2 linked regions of the Oryzias latipes genome follow. The protein of the gene in region 1 purifies or fractionates together with the protein of each later gene. This does not show direct contact. Links are inferred from orthologs where the notes say so. Each region holds a gene or a part of one and is shown in the gene's direction. Other genes may lie near its edges.

Evidence for each region. Proteins that work in one complex are often made in the same cells at the same time.
Region 2: the proteins of pes1 (region 1) and rpl7l1 purify together in Homo sapiens (affinity purification with mass spectrometry; 4 studies listed by BioGRID and IntAct, counting the BioPlex papers as one, with this or other methods). This does not show direct contact. The link is inferred for Oryzias latipes from reciprocal best matches to the Homo sapiens genes PES1 and RPL7L1.

What each region holds. Positions count from the first base shown.
Region 1 is NC_019867.2:13,307,071-13,310,711, forward strand, and holds part of pes1 (pescadillo homolog), read left to right. Parts: intron 1-222; coding exon 223-339; intron 340-411; coding exon 412-489; intron 490-1,462; coding exon 1,463-1,552; intron 1,553-2,338; coding exon 2,339-2,469; intron 2,470-3,104; coding exon 3,105-3,230; intron 3,231-3,641. UniProt on the Homo sapiens protein: Component of the PeBoW complex, which is required for maturation of 28S and 5.8S ribosomal RNAs and formation of the 60S ribosome.
Region 2 is NC_019882.2:429,207-433,051, reverse strand, and holds the end of rpl7l1 (60S ribosomal protein L7-like 1), read left to right. Parts: intron 1-1,067; coding exon 1,068-1,205; intron 1,206-1,270; coding exon 1,271-1,380; intron 1,381-2,782; coding exon 2,783-2,991; 3' UTR 2,992-3,205; downstream 3,206-3,845.

The sequences.
Region 1 (3,641 bases):
CAGAAGAAATAATTCTTCTTTACAAATAGACAATTTAACAGCTAAAAGAGGGAGGAAAGCTACATAAACGTTCATGTGATTTTTGATCATTTTTATAAAGTGTAATTTTAAACTATTTTTTTGAATTATTACTCAAATTATATGTTGAAATGTTTCACTTTGACACAGTTATTTGGTGAGTAGACCTTTTATTTTTCTAAAATAATATTTTTGCTGTTTTAGCACCCAACAGATGTTGACTACAGAGTCATGGCAACTTTCACAGAGTTGTACACAACCCTGCTGGGGTTTGTGAACTTCAGGCTCTACCATTCCCTCAACCTGGTCTACCCTCCAAAGGTATTTTGAACTGGAGACGATTTTAAGACATACGTATGAGCTCCACTTTGAACCTACTCTGTTTTCACACAGCTGGACATTAAAGCAGAGTCGGAGCTCAAGGGAGAGAATGAAGATGAATATGCTATGGACTCAGAGAGCTACCCCGAGGTTAGTTTTTATTTATTTGTTTCCCACAGTGAACAGCCTAAAATGCCTGTTTTTATTTACGGCCTTTTGTTTTAGTATTTATTTTCTCTTTGACTTTTATTGTGGCCCTAAAATCACATTAACACATTTAGCAAAAAAACTTGTGAAAGATCACAATGACAATTAAAAAAGACAAAACTATTAAAAAACATAAATGAATAAGATTACATTTTAGTAATTGAAGCAATATTCCAGAAGCCAAAACCAAAACACAATACCAGAAAAAGGAAACAAAATAAAAATGAAACGTTTCAGAAATTAAAATTAATGTCCAGAAACAAAAGGAGAAACCAGGAAAGGTCGGTATTGTGGGTCCTAACTGATTGAATGATGACGTTTGATCACCTTTTCAACGAAAAGTTATTTGGCATTGTAGACAGAAGATATTTGATTAAACTTCTGGCCTCAGTTACTGCAAAGGGTTGACTGCTCATTCTACTCTCAACCACAGTTTGGGCAACACATTCTTCTGCTTTCCCTCTTCTTCAAAACTCAAACATCTTCATCCAGTCAGTGATACCCACCTTTCTTGGTCTCTTATTATTTAATGTTTAAACATTTCATTTTAATTCTGGCAATTCCTTTTGTTTTCCAAAAATGTTTTTTTTTTATGGTTTGGTTTCTAAAATGTAAAATATATATATATATAGATATATAGATATTTTTTTATCATTATCATCTTTTTGTTGTTGTTTTGATCTTAAATATGTTTTTGCATTGAATGATTTTTACTTCAGGTCCACCATAGACTTTTCCTTTATTTACATAAAAGCAGGATCAAACAGGATTTAGGCATCATGGTGCTAAAATGGATGGTATTTTATTAAACTAAAACTTTAGTCTGAGTTTTTTTCCCTCTTTTTCTAATACTGTATAAACATAAATAAAAATGAAGTAGATGACAGGGGGAAAACGTGATGTTTTATCTGTGCAGAAACTTGCAGCTCTCAGTGCCAGCCTGGCCCGGGTTGTTTCTACAGCAGAGGAAGAAGATGCTCAGCTCGATGCGTTTCCTACGGAGGAGGCAAGACATGTTTGGAATTTTTACATTTGTTTTTATTATACTTGATACAAATGTTTATTTTGTGGAAAAACTCCAAAACAACACCAAATAAATTCATAGGACATTCATTACTCTCTCAGGACAATTGGGCTAAAAAATTAGAATGTAACCAGGGATTTACAGCTTTATGTTTGTTTGCCATTGGTGCTTTGGTTCTCACCTGAGAAGCTTGTTTTGCTTTGCCAGTTTAAAATGGTCATCTAGGAATCGCGTAACACCATAGGGACTTCATATGGCTCTTTAAAAAAACAAACAAACATTTTTTGAGAGCCATAAAAGTCATTAGTGCAGTTTAAAGAGCCAAGTCTAAACTAACGTTTGGTCTTTTCAAAGACACTCATCTGCCTCTGAACACCACACTGATGATGGTACAATGCAAAGTTCTGTCAAATGTGACAAAAAGAGGATTAATTACCTAAACATTTTACTTTTGAATTTTTTTTTTTAATACTAGTTTGTGTCATGAACATGCATAATGAATATTTATGAATTTCACTCTTTTAAAGCAATGTTTATTTCTTAAAATAAAATAAAGAATTGTCATTTATAATTAATATAGAAAAATGACTTATTTTAGGGTTAAGGGTCAGCATTTTCGGTGCATAATGGAAAGCCTTAAGTTTAGCCTGCATCATCAAGAAGTGAATTAGGATACATGCAATTAATCTTTATCGCTCCATTTATAAAGGCAAAATTAAAACTCATCAGTATTTGAAACTTTTTTTTATTGTTATTTTTCTTCTCCAGGAGGATTTGGAGAAAGTCGAAGCTCGAGAAAAGGAGCAAATGCAGCTGGAAACCCAAAAAAAGATTTTTGAGGGACTCAAGTTTTTCCTGAACAGGGAAGTTCCCAGAGAGTCACTGGCTTTTGTCATCAGGTAAACACACTTTTGGGAAATTAAAGCTCCATTCTGATGAAAATTGTGTTTTGGTGTTTTTATGGAGTACATGTATAGAGGAAAATTATGCCCGGAATTGCATTTCTGAGTATTTCTTTATTCAAATTGCTGTGAAACAGGAGCAGACAAAAAAATGCCATTTGATAAACCTTGTAGGTGTTACAATCAGCGGCTCACAAGCTTCCTGTTCCGCTCCATTCTGATGCACCTCAACTGAGCTGATATCTGGCTCAAAACTGTACGTCTGGATATCTCCGATATTGCTCGCCGTTTTTGTTGCACCGGTAATATTAGGTGGGGGGGGGGGGGGGGGCTGTTAGCTAGCAGGAGAACACATAAGCAGAGAGCTCAGTTATGGGTGACGGGAAATGGGGGAAGGTTGCTCTCGGAAAACAGTCAAGAGGTGAATTTCTAATGAACTCCTGCCGCTCCGCAGGAAATATGACCCAGAAAACGGAGCAGGTTTTACTGATTTTAGCTAAAAATGGCATAATCATAATTACAAGACCAGTGGGAAGGAACGCTTAATAATAAATCCAAAGATGATCGGAGTGTGACCTTAATCATAAAGTAATGGTCACAATAAATCCAATAGCTTTGCTTCTGCCTTTCAGGTGTTTTGGTGGAGAGGTGTCCTGGGACAGGTCTGTCTGCATTGGGAGCACGTATGATGCCACAGACGAGACGATCACACATCAAATTGTGGACAGACCTAATGTGGACAAAAGCTACATCAACAGGTGAAGAAAACGATTTTTGATGACATTTCTGATCAGATGCAGTTTAAAAACTAGAAGGAGCTGCATTTCCAGAAGAAAATGCAGGGTTGAATGCTATATTTCTGAATGAAAACTTAAAGGGTCATAATTGGCAAAAATAAATAAAAATTGAAGTGGACCATAAAGGGAAAACAGCACAATAACAGAGTATATTTTTGTGAAAAATGCTAGCGCTGGGTATCGAACCAGCAAGCCCCTGCACCAAGGATTCCCCGTGTATTTCAATGGAGGCAAAAATCCAGGAATATCTTGAAATTTTCAAGGATTTGAAGGACCAATAGTCAAAGCTGGAAAAAGCTGAACATTTTAATAGTTGAATGGTTAAAATAGCTGAAAAATTGTGGGAGTTTAGCGCCAAAAAATGGTGGAGAA
Region 2 (3,845 bases), on another chromosome or scaffold:
GGTCAGGTTATCCACAGTGGAAGGTCAGGTTATCCACAGTGGAAGGTCAGGTTATCCACAGTGGAAGGTCAGGTTATCCACAGTGGAAGGTCAGGTTATCCACAGAGGAACGTCAGGTTATCCACAGAGGAACGTCAGGTTATCCACAGTGGAAGGTCAGGTTATCCACAGTGGAAGGTCAGGTTAAACGCAGAGGAACATCAGGTTATCCACAGAGGAACGTCAGGTTAAACGCAGAGGAACGTCAGGTTATCCACAGAGGAACGTCAGGTTATGCACAGAGGAACGTCAGGTTATCCACAGAGGAACGTCAGGTTATCCACAGAGGAACGTCAGGTTATCCACAGTGGAAGGTCAGGTTATCCACAGTGGAAGGTCAGGTTATCCACAGTGGAAGGTTAGGTTATCCACAGTGGAAGGTCAGGTTATCCACAGAGGAACGTCAGGTTATGCACAGAGGAACATCAGGTTATGCACAGAGGAACATCAGGTTATCCACAGATGAACGTCAGGTTATGCACAGAGGAACGTCAGGTTAAACACAGAGGAACGTCAGGTTATCCACAGTGGAAGGTCAGGTTATGCCTGTATCGTCTCTCAGTCCTCCCTTCTTCCAGCTCCGTTCTTCCACAGAAACCGCTCTGACCACAGGGATTAGTGAGCAGTTCCTTCATGGGAACATTAATAAAATCATCTGGTATATGACAGAGCTGACATATCTATGCATGTAGCCTCCCAGCGGGACTCATTTCCTCTTCCTGTATTCCAACACTGCTGCGGATGTGTGAATGATTCATTCTGACTGGAAGGCCACCATGTGAACGTTTGTTAGAAACAGACTAAGTTTTTCTGGGCCCACGAACACGCTTGATTCTGATCCGACCATTGATCCCATCAACATATTTTGCTCATGTAACCACGGCTTATGGTGTCGACTGGCAGCGTGGCGGGGGTGTGGCGGGGGCGTGGCATCACCATGGTGTCTCTCCATGGTGATGCCGGTCTGTCGGCACGACCCTACTTGTCTGAGGAGAACCCTGACCAGTGTGGTGCTTGTGGCCCCCCAGGATCAAAGGCGTCAGCCCCAAAGTCAGGAAGGTGGTGCAGATGATGAGGCTGAGGAAGATCTTCAGTGGAGCCTTCATCAAGATCAATAAGACGTCCGTGGCCATGATGAAGGTGGTGGAGCCGTACGTGGCGTGGGGGTGAGTTCCTCGGCCCGCTCTCCTTCCGCTTTGGGTTCTTTGATGTTTATCGGTTCCGCTCTCAGGTTCCCTAACCTGAAGTCGGTCCGGGAGCTCATCCTGAAGCGAGGTCAGACGAGGATCGGCAGGAGGCGGGTTCCTCTGACGGACAACGCGCTGATCGAGCAGCACATGGGTACGTCTTTTCAAAATAAAACACATCTTTGTGCTTAGAGCTGTGACGGTGTCGAATTTTTCATCACCGTGGTGATGAACCACCAGGGGGCGCGGTGTCGCGGTTAACCAACAACCAACAACTACATATTTAACTTGTGAACTAACTATAGGTGTTGTAGATTGACTGTGTGTGAGCGCGGAGCGTCTTGTGTAGGAATAGTAGGAAGGCGCGCACACGTGTGTTGGGGGTGTGTGTTGATTCTTCTGCAGCGGACCGCTCTGGAGCTGCACGCAAGTTTCACCTGTGCTCTCTGGTACAGACATCTTCTCAGAATATTATTTATTGCCCAGTAATAAACAGACTGCAGACGCTGTCACCTTTCCGGTAGCCGTGAAGCCTGACAGCCATGAAGAACGCGGGGCAGGAGGCTCCGCCTCTGTTTATACAGACACGTAACGTTACGCTGCAAAAAATAGTTCCCAAAGAAAACATGTAGTGATTTTCATGGAAATCTAACAGTGCGCGTTCATGTTTGGTGTTACGGATTGAAGGAGGACAGTTACACCCCCCCCCCCCCCCCCCCAACACAAAATCCTCCGGTGGGCGGCCGTGTCGCGCACTTAGGAACGCACGCAGCTTGTAATGGAAATGAATACAATGGAAATTAATAATTAGAAAGCAGTAAATTTGTCGTATTTCCTCACGAGACGGAAACTTCTGTTGTAGAATAAGGATGTGTGCTTCTGAAAGCGCGCGCCTGTTTGTGTAAACGGAGCCGCGTGCAGCGCGAAGGCAGACACTGAGAGCACGAGCGGTGGGAGAAAAGGAGACAACAGTCTGAAAGAAAGAAAGTCTGAACACTAGCAGAAAAAGGAAATTATCAGCAAAGATGAACGTGTTTATTATAGTTCCAAACACGCACCAAAAAAAAAAAAAAAAAGTGCGTCAAAAAAGTGCGGTGATGCGGTTATCGTCACAGCCCTATTTGTGCTTGCACTGAAGTCTTTTCAGAATAAAGTTTTAGAAATTGAGAACAAAGATGGAAAAAGAAACTTCCTGCTTGTTGGACACGAATATGAATGTCTCTGCTATAGGCTCCGCCTCCACAAAGACTCTATTTTGTAATTCCAGCAGATTTTCTCGGGTGAAACTTTTTTTCCCTACTTTTCTGGAAATAACAGTAGAACCAACAACAGTTCTGATCATACGGAACATTCTACAGTAAACAGCGTCACAGAGCTGCAAGGAACCCGTCTGAGCCGTCAGAACCAGTGGTTCTGGTCGTGGTTCCTGATTGGTCCGTCTAAGCCCCCGCCCTAAAACCTGCTGTGATTTCCCCCATGGGGGGTTCTGGTGGGGTTCCTGTGCGTGTGTCCTTTTGGACCTCCTGCTCACATGCAGAACCTTCTGCCCCCCCCAGGTAAACATGGGATCATCTGCTTGGAGGATCTGATCCATGAGATCTTCTCAGTGGGGAGGAGCTTCCGGCCCGCCAACAACTTCCTGCTGCCTTTCCGTCTGTCGGTGCCGCGTCACGCCGCACGCGACAAAGCGGGTCTCCTGAAGGACCTGGGGGGGCCGGGCTTCCGCGGCGCCGACATCAACGCCATCGTCAGACTGTTGAACTGATCCGGACCGCAGCTGCTGTGGGTTTGAGGAGAACCGGACCACAGTTCTGCTGCTCCATGACTCGCCCCAGATTACACCCAGAAACTTTGCTGGAGGGGTCACCGTGCACGTGTGTGCACGTGTGTGCACGGCGGAGGAAGACTTCTGCTCCTGCAGGAGCTCCTGAATGAACACTTCCTATAAGAAGACGACTAAATAAAGTTTTTCTACTAAACTGAACGTCCCATTCTGTAAACCGGGGGGGCTAAAGACCCCCCATACCCAGAGTTGCTGGTTCATCAGCTAAAACGGAATGGATTCTGAATGTGGGGGGGTCATAGTGCTGGGAATTTACTGGGGAGGGGTCCGGTTCAGCTGAGGACTTTTTCTGTTTTACCTCCAGCAAACTGTATGAAGCTTGTTTTATTTATAAGAACGGATGATTTATTTGACTTATTTATAGAAACTAATTTATTTGACTTATTTATAGAAACTGATTTATTTGACTTATTTATAGAAACTGATTTATTTGACTTATTTATAGAAACTGATTTATTTGACTTATTTATAGAAACTGATTTATTTGACTTATTTATAGAAACTGATTTATTTGACTTATTTATAGAAACTGATTTATTTGACTTATTTATAGAAACGGATGATTTATTTGATGTAAACCTTCAGAATGAATCTTTGTCGGTTTGACTTTTGCGTTCAGCACCAGAACATCCCAGATTTTGAACTAAATCTGTTGTTCATATGATAGTTTTCTGGAGGAAGTGTAACGGCTGCATTGTGTGCATGAGGATGGAGTTTGGTGCTGGTCGTCAGGCAGATCTCGTGGGATGAATTTGGCGCAGGTTTGGAATTTCCGC